2 linked regions of the Mus musculus genome follow. The protein of the gene in region 1 interacts with the protein of each later gene in a pairwise test. Links are inferred from orthologs where the notes say so. Each region holds a gene or a part of one and is shown on either strand. Other genes may lie near its edges.

Region 1 (5,779 bases):
TGCCATACTGTTTGCTCTGATCTTGTTTAAGTGTGAGGGAAAGTCCCTGTGCAGAATAGGGGGCACCTGGTTTTATGTCACCTACATGGTCATCAAGACAGAGTTGCCTGTTAGAGGTATGGAAGCAAAGACCAAGGGTAGTTATACTATTTTCTTTCTGTTATAAGCTTTCAGTGAGGCTGTATCCCCAGAAGTAGACCAGAATGTGGTAACAAATGAAAAGGCATGTACAACACTTTGTGAAGTAAGAAATGCTACCTAGATGCAGGAATCTAAGAGGAACCAGCTTAGGAACTGGTTCTTTCTAAGACTCAAAGGGAGTTGCAGAATTGAGATACTGAAGTTTATTCCTATCCCTCATGTGTAGGATCTTACCAGCCCCTTCAGTTCTCACAGCAGTATGACTGACTAAACTGCTTGGGTCTGGTTATGGGCTTTCTTTGGGGGTTTGAGGGGTAGCATTTTAGCTAGTGGTCCCTGACCACCAGGAAAACTCTGGCTGTTTGATAGTTGAGATAGCCGAGCAAGACAGAATCAAAGTAGGGAGGCAGAGCCTGGTGTCTTGTCCTGCAACTAACTACCCTATAGAGAGAAAGAAAGAAAGTGTTCTGGGAATTAAGGTAAGGGATCCCCTGGGCCCTTGGACCGCATCTCTTCCTAAGTGTAAAATCTGATTTTTTCCCCCATCCATCTGACTGAGTATATGGCTAACTTTGCTTGATTCATAGCCATTCTGTGACACTTCTTAAAGCCTCTTCTCGATGTGCCCTCTCTTGGGAGGCTGTCTGCGGGAGCTGCAGTGTGCCAGCAGTCGGGCAAAGGACAGAAAGCACAGTGCGACTGCTTGTTGCTGGACGGACCTAGGCCACATCAAGGGCTGTGGGAGATTGGCAGCAGAAGTTGGGGGAGAATATGGAATCTTTCTTTTTTAGGGTTCTACAGCCTTAATGGGGTCCCTTTCTTTCCTCTATCCATCCCAAAACCATTTCTAAATCCAGCTGGTTATGGGTTTAGTCAAATGATTTGGTGAAATCACAGTTAAAGACATAGAGATTTGTCCCTTTACCTAACTCCCTTGGGCAGATCCTAAGCTATTTTAGTGACTTTCTTTCTTATGACTTCTATAAATAACTTAGCCTCCCCCCTCCCCCAAGAATAAGGATTTTAACAAAGGCTAGTAACATCCTGGCAAAGAGGATGAAACCAGACTTACTGGTTTTAAAATAGGGTTTGAATTGCATGGTCCTGGCACACTTGCTGGGATCTCTTGTACTATGTCTTTTATTTGGTCGTTAGCTTTCCCTCAGTAGTTTAGCCCACTTGCAGAGTGCACTCCTGTCCATGTTCCAGGGGCAGGCAAAGGCCAACTCCACTCTGTGGTCTGTGGAGTGGTCCACGTGAGGCGGCTCAAATGCCGAGTTTATGGGCTCGCTGCACACTTTCTTCTGCTGAGGGGTTTCATTTAGTGTGCTTTACAAGTCTGCTGTTTTCCTGTCCATTCCGAGGGAACGCAGGTTTTAGTTGTTGCTGTTTGTTTTGGTTTTCTTAAACACTAATTGCTAAAAGAGCTTTTGTTGAATTCAATCTTCAACTACTTCTCTGCTGGATTTATGGGGAAATTTAATGTGATCCTTAGGAGCCTCAAATCGTGAGATGTCCCAGCTCTTCCTTTGAGCCCAGTGCCTCCCGGCTTACTCTTTAGAATGTAGGTGCTCATGGGGCTCAGCCTGGCTCTCGCTGCAGTGCTCTGTGCAGAGTTGATTGAGCCAATGTTTGGCCTTCGTCACTTGCAGCGACTAAGTTTTGATCTGTGGCGTATAGGCCACGATCTGTGCAGACTGGCAGCTTTATGTATATCCAGACGAAACAATGATAGAAGGCACAGTACAGTTTTTTAGAAACTAGCTGTCTAAGAGTCAGGTGCAGAGTGGAACCTGAACTTTCAGGAATGATATCCACTGGGCATGCTCTGGACAGTCATTCAACAGGAGCTACTGATTGACTGATGTCCCTTACCTTGAAGCCTGGCATGTTGACATAGAGAGATTCACTCCATTTGGAGTCAGAACTTGAAACAGGCAAAAGCAAAACGGGCAACCACCACGTCTGTTTTCTTTCTAAAAGAGGCCCTGCCTGTTGGAGGGAAGAGAAGGGAGCATCTTGCACACGTGGAGCCAGCCACACAGCCTCGGCTGCTTTTCCCTTGGCTCATCTCTACAGAGACCTTTTGTGCCTCCCTTTAGGTATCTCACTCTAGCTTCCCCTAGCACGGGGCTCTCGGGCTTGTAGAACAGAGCCTCTTAGTTGCTTTTTCCTGGTTTCCAGGCTTATGTTGACACCTTGTGTTTTGTCTTTTGCAGGTTGGGTGGTCCGGACCCCTTGGACTATGTTAGCATGTACAGGAACATGGGGAGTCCTTCTGCCAACATCCCTGAGCACTGGCACTACATCAGCTTTGGCCTGAGTGATCTCTATGGTGACAACAGAGTCCATGAGTGAGTGTCTGCCATCTGCCTTTCCTTAACCCTAAGCCTATTTCTGAAGTTGTATTGAGTGTGTGTGATGATGTTGGTTCTGTGGGAGTGACACTTTCCAGTGTCACCTCTCTGGTTCCACCTTCTGCCTGTGCTGGACAGCCTGGAACTCGAGATGTAGGCCAAGCTGGTGTTGAATTTGTGGTGGAGGGGCGGCTTATGGAATTGCTTATGCTGGTCTTGAACTCTCCATCCTCCCGAGTGACAGGGTTGCAGATGTGTGCTGCCAGACTTGTATTCATCGTGCTTGGGTTGCCCACTTCACATGTTTAGCCCCAGTCTGCTATTCTCTGCCCTGTGCCTCTTACCCCTCTGTACTGGCTAGTTTTGTGTCAGCTTGACACAGCACAGAGAAAGGAGCTTCAGCTGAGGAAGTGCCTCCGTGAGATCCAACTGTAAGGCATTTTCTCAATTAGTGATCAAGGGGGAAAGGCCCCTTGTGGGTGGGACCATCTCTGGGCTGGTAGTCTTGGTTCTATAAGAGAGCAGGCTGAGCAAGCCAGGGGAAGCAAGCCAGTAAAGAATATCCCTCCATGGCCTCTGCATCAGCTCCTGCTTCCTGACCTGCTTGAGTTCCAGTCCTGACTTCCTTGGTGATGAACAACAGTATGGAAGTGTAAGCCAAATAAACCCTTTCCTCCCCAATTTGCTTCTTGGTCATGATGTTTGTGCAGGAATAGAAACTTGACTAAGACACCCTCTCAGGGATAGAAAGATGGCTTAGCCATGGCTCAAGTGGTTAAGAGCACTGGCTGCTCTTCCAGAGGACCCAGGTTCAATTCCTAGCACCCACAGGGCAGCTCACAACTGTCTTTTTTTTTTTTTTTTAAGATTTATTTATTATATGTAAGTACACTGTAGCTGTCTTCAGACACTCCAGAAGAGGGCATTAGATTTCGTTACGGATGGTTGTGAGCCACTATGTGGTTGCTGGGATTTGAACTCGGGACCTTCGGAAGAACAGTCGGTGCTCTTAACCACTGAGCCATCTCACCAGCCCCCACAACTGTCTTTTAACTCTAGTTCCAGAAGATCCAGTGTCCTCTTCTGACCTCTGTAGGCAGTAGACATAAGCAATAGGCACACAGACATGCATTCAGCCAAGACACCCAGACACATAAAATAATAGAAAATTAAAATTTTTCTTACTCCCTAATTTCTCTTTATAATCAACTAATATATGTTTTAATTCCAACACACATTTTGATATCAAGTAGAATATAATTAACTTTGTATTTAATCCTCCAAAATTACAATTAGAATAATTATAAAAGCTAACAACATTTTTTAATCGCTGATTATGCACCAGGTACTCTTGTAGCCATTTATATATGTGTGACAGTAATGAATTTAATTTTCTGCATAACACTTTGAATCTACTAGGTGATAATATTTGCCCCACTTAGTAATGTGAAAACATAAAGAGCCTCTATAACACAATATCTTTTCTGAGCAGTATGAGGGCCAAGATTGATTGATTGATTGGGTGATTGATTCAGAGACAGGATTTCCATGTAGACAGGCTGGCTCCGTAGGTCAGACTCCTTCAGGATCAAATCCAGGTCCTCAGGCATAGTAGGTAAATGCTGTGTCATGGAGCTATAGCTTCAGATAAATAGCCTATAGTCTAGGGTTTTTAAAGGCAAGTTCTTAGTATGTAGTCCTGACACGCCTGGAATCACTATGTGAAAATATTTATTAACACAGCAACATGGAAGCTATGAAGAACTACAACAAACTGGGAAGAAAACTATGATCGCTTTCATTAACATACAACCATCTCCAAAGACAGTCTCTACCGAGTCAGGACAAGAGGAGCCTTGCGACTTTTTTGTTTGTGATTTTGAGACAGGTTTCTCTGTGTAGCCCTCTCTCTTCTGGAGCTCACTCCGTAGACCAAGCTAGCCTCAAATTCACAGAGATCCACCTGGGATTAAAGGCCTGTGACACTGTCACCTGGCTGAGCCTTGCTACTTTTTCAACTGGCCTAGGCTAAGTACCACCTCCCAGATAGAAGGGTAGTGTAAGAGGTCTCCCTCGTTATCTTGTTGTTTGTTGCTGTCTTATCGATGAGGAAACTGAGTTACTTAAGCCTTGAATCTAGGCTATAAAGGAACTGGGATTTTCTTAGACTGAGTCCAGAGTTTGCACTCTTAGGTCACTGCACCATACCATACCAACCCTTTGCCCACAGGCCCAGGCTAGCTCTCTCTGTCTGTTGTTAGTGTCCGAGGCCAGGCCTCCTGTCTTTCCTAGCACATGGGGTGTAGTGTCTACTGTCTGCCTTCAGTCCTTCCAAATGGCCAGCAGAAGCCTTGGGGGCAGACTCAGTCTCGCCTGAGTGGGAGCTTTGCCCTACAGTATTTACAGTGGAGAAAGTAAAGTCTGTGCCATGTGTTCTCTTTGGGTTTTGGAGACAGGCTCTCGCTCTGTGGCTAAGGCTGGCCTAGAGCTCACTGTAGTCAAGGCTGAGCTAGGTCGGCTGGAGCTGAAGTTCCCAGCGGTTGTGAGCCACCTGATGCTGGGAGAGCAGGAAGTGCACTAAACAACTCAATGCCAGCGCAATGGTTTTGTAGGTAAAGGCCCTTGCTCCAAGGCTGATGACGACCTGAGTTTATTCCCCAGAACCCAGTGGGGCAGAGAACCAGCCCCACGGTTGATCTCTCATCTCCATACTCTTGACACAGTGCGTATATTCATCCTCATATACTGTCTTAGTCAGGGTTACAATGCAATGAGACCCCATGACCAAGAGCACTTGGGAGGACAGGGTTCATTTGGCTTATATATCCTGAATCCTAGTTTCTGAGGGAAGCCAACGCAGGAACTTAAAACCAGGCAGGAACTGATGCAGAGGCCATGGAGGAGTGCTTGCTCCTCCTGACTTGTTCTGCCTGCTCTCTTCTAGCACCTGGCTCCACCAGGCCAAGGTAGTACCACCCACAAAATGCTGGGCCCTCCTGGGTTAATTAATAATTAAGAAAGTGTCCAACATGTAGTGGCACATACTTTTATTTCCAGCATCCAGGAGGCCAGCCTGGTCTATATAGTTAGTTCCAGGACAGCCAGAGCTATATAAAGAGACCCTTTCTCAAGAAAAAAAAAAAAAAAAAGAAAGAGAGAGAGAAAGAGAAAGAGAAAGAAAAAGAAAGATTTGTATGTGTGTGTGTGTGTGTGTGTGTGCGCGCGCGCATGCATCCACACACGCACGCACACACACGTGGAGGCTAGAAGAGGCAGTTGGA
Region 2 (3,400 bases), on another chromosome or scaffold:
ACACAGAGAAACCCTGCCTCAGAAACCCAGATAGATGGATAGATAGATAGATAGATAGATAGATAGATAGATAGACAGACAGACAAACAGACAGACTCCACTTCCTCAAGTTCAAGAGCTCAATGCTCATCACGATTAGCAGTGGACCCCAAGAGACAAAGCAAACATACAAGATCCCTGTAGCTACCACATAGGCATGAAGACCTGAATTGCATTACTCAACACCTGCATAAGATGGGCTAGTGGGACACACTTATAATCCCAGAGCCGGGGAGGCAGAGACAGGAGGATGCCTTGGGAGAGCTGGTCAGCCAGGCTAATCTGACCAGCAAGCCCCACATCCTGGTCAATACCCAGTTTCAAGGAACAAATAGCAACCAGAAGTGGAGCCATGGCCCAGCGGTGAAGAGTATGTGCTATCTCACAGAGGGCCTGAGTGCAGTTCCCAGCACCCAGTGGGCAGCTCATGACCACCTGTAGCTCCAGGTCCAGGTGGTTCAGCGCCCTCTTGTGGCCTCTACAGCACCTGCACGCCCAGCCATCTTTCCAGTAAGTACATTCCATGTCTGGTATCTGAGATATGATTAGATCACAGCGTGTTACATGTGCATTTCAAATAAACTGTGTTCTCCTGGGCCTGGACACAATTGGTGTTCACATGAGTCTCTTCTTAGGATATGGTTGCCTGGGGACAGGCTGGAGATTGGACACCTAATGGAACACAGGAAGGTCTGATAAAGAGGTGCCAGGCACTGGATGGGGACTAGACATGGTGGGGGCCCGGAATCCTTGTGAAGGATGCTGGGACCCAGGACAGGTTTGGGAAACATGTTCTGCACAATGTTACTCACTGCTACCACGATGTCCCGCATGTGAGGGAACTCCTCCGGATGCAGAAAGGCCGTCAGCTCTTCCCGAGTAGCCATGGAGTCGCCATCTTGGTCGGCTACCCGGAATCGCCGCTCATCCCGAGCCAGCATCTTCTTGTAGGTCTCGGCATCCTCCACATCATGAAACTCCTCTCCTGGGGAGGGCAGATGTGGGTGAATGTGTGGTCACAGAGGCGAGATCTGGGACTTAGGAAACAGAAGGACCCAGCTAGTGGAAGGACTGCCACAGAGTGTAAGAAGGGACATGTGTCAGCCACATCATGGGTGTGTGGGCAGGTCTGTCATTCACGATACTTAAAAGACTGAAGCAAGGGAATTGCAAGTTCAAGGTCAGCCTGGGTAACTAAGCAAGACTGTCAGCCCAGCAGGGAGCCCCTGCCTAGAATCCCCCAGTGAGGGGCTGGGGTGTGGCTCAGCCTTTCCTATCTCTGGGTTCAGTCCCTAGAGATGTAGAATAATAATTTTCATGTGTAATATACTCAGTTTCCTGTATCGGCTATGACACAGTCAGTGGCGTCACAGACTAACTCCGCAGCCCTGAGAATGTCCTCAATAGTCTTCATCTACAATCTTTTGTTTTTATGATGGGGTTTCACTATGTAGCCCAGACTAACATGGAGCTCACTGGGTAGCCCGTTAGTTCACTGAGACCTGCCTGCCTCTCCCTCCACGTGCTGAGATTAAAGGGGAGCTGCACCATCCCCACTCCCCAGTCTGCTTTCTGTCCTGTCACCTACAATGTTCCACTTGATCCTCACACAAAGCCAGATCATGGCCTTTTCCATTTGTCCACTCTTCTGAATGTACAATGACATTGACTGGGAGTGGACACTGGCCTGGTTAGCCCCGAAGCTCTTTTCTGATACAGTAAGTGACTGGCTCTGACTCCATGACAGACAGCAGGGAAGGGCTTTTCTCCGGAGGAGGAACAGCATATGTAAAGTGCAGAGAACTGAGGAACTGAGGAGATCTGGACTCCACAGAAGAAAGTTTTGGGGTAGAAACCCTATCAACACAACACTGAAGGTGGGAGAGACTAATAATGAGGTAGATGTCTGTCTCCTAAGGTCCCTGGAGGATGGACAGAGTCACCTGTGCTATGCCTATCCTTGAGCTCTGGGCTATCCCCCTGCCTCCACCTCTCAAGTGCTGAGACTGAGGAAGACTGCTAACCAGGTGTGCTGGCTAATTTTATGTCAACTTGACAGAGGTCAGGGTCATCTGAGAGGAGGGAACCCCAACTGAGAGGACGCTTCCCTAAGACTGGGCCATAGGTAAGGCTGTTATGGTCTCTTTCCTAATGCTGCTACCCTCTAATACAGCCCAGTAAGTTCTGGTGACCCCCATAAAATTATTGTGTTGCTACTTCATAACTATAACTTTGCTACTGTTATGACTTGTAGTGTAACTATCTGAAACACAGTATCTCTGACACAGTATCTCACAAAGGGGTTGTGACCCACTGGTGGGGAACCAGTGCTATAGGGAATTCTTCAGTGATGGACCGCAGACGTAGAAGCGTAAGCCAAGCAAACCCTTTCCTCTCCCACTTGCTTTTGGTCACAGTGTCTCATCATAGCAATATTAACCCTAGCTAAGACACCAGTGCCACATATGGGTCTGGATAACAGGGTTAAACATTAAGTATTCCTGCCACGAATGTGAAGTCTCCAGTCAACTTGTCACATAGATTGGATTTCAGAAGGAAGAGCAAATGACATTTGAAATGGAGGGAAGGTATCAGGGATAAGATCCTAAAAGCGAGGTCAAAGGGCAAAGGCGAGGTGGGCATACCGGGCTCATAATGGCCATAGGTGGCATTGCGCAACTCCTCCCAACCCACGCGCCCGTCGCGGTCCGTGTCGTAGGTGTGCCAGGCTGCGCTCACCGAGTCACGGATGTGCCGCTGCTGTGTGTGCGCGATCCACGCGCGGAGCTCAGCTAAGGACACCCAGCCGTCGCTGTCCCCAGCAAGATCCATGCGGTCTACGATCCGCCTGCGAGGGGAATGAATGTCAGTCTCTGGCTCTGCCCAATGAGGCCCTGCCCCTACAGTTAGAGACGCAGTCAATCTCAACCCTGACCCCGCCCACCTAGGCCCCTCCCTGTCATATATAGAGTTACCCTTGTACCTATATAAGACAAAAATGGGGACTTGGTGATGGCTCAGCGGTTAAGAACCCTGGCTGCTCTTGTAGGAACCTGGGTTTGATTCCCATGAGCCCCACGAGGCAGGTCACAAGCATCTCTAACTCTAGATGCAGGAACCCATTATCCTCTTTTGGCCCTTGTGGGCACAAGACATGTTAATGGTTAATGGACACACATGAAAAATACCCACACAAAAAAAGAAAAAGAAGGCTGGAGATAGGGCTCAGTGGTTAAGAGCACTAACTACTCTTCCAGGGGTCCTGAGTTCCTTCAATTTCCACATGGTGGTTCACAACCATCTGCAATGAGATCTGACACCCTCTTCTGGTGTGTCTGAAGACAGCTACAGTGTACTTAGA

Evidence for each region. The genes of interacting proteins can lie anywhere in the genome.
Region 2: the proteins of Sufu (region 1) and Rcn3 interact in binary tests that used the Homo sapiens proteins (3 or more experiments, as listed by UniProt). The two-hybrid records come from large-scale screens. The link is inferred for Mus musculus from reciprocal best matches to the Homo sapiens genes SUFU and RCN3.

Annotation. Positions count from the first base shown.
Region 1 is NC_000085.6:46,398,764-46,404,542, forward strand, and holds part of Sufu (suppressor of fused homolog), read left to right. Parts: intron 1-2,360; coding exon 2,361-2,495; intron 2,496-5,779. UniProt on the Homo sapiens protein: Negative regulator in the hedgehog/smoothened signaling pathway. Down-regulates GLI1-mediated transactivation of target genes. Down-regulates GLI2-mediated transactivation of target genes. Part of a corepressor complex that acts on DNA-bound GLI1.
Region 2 is NC_000073.6:45,085,814-45,089,213, forward strand, and holds part of Rcn3 (reticulocalbin-3 precursor), read right to left. Parts: intron 2,888-3,400; coding exon 2,685-2,887; intron 1,025-2,684; coding exon 852-1,024; intron 1-851. UniProt on the Homo sapiens protein: Probable molecular chaperone assisting protein biosynthesis and transport in the endoplasmic reticulum.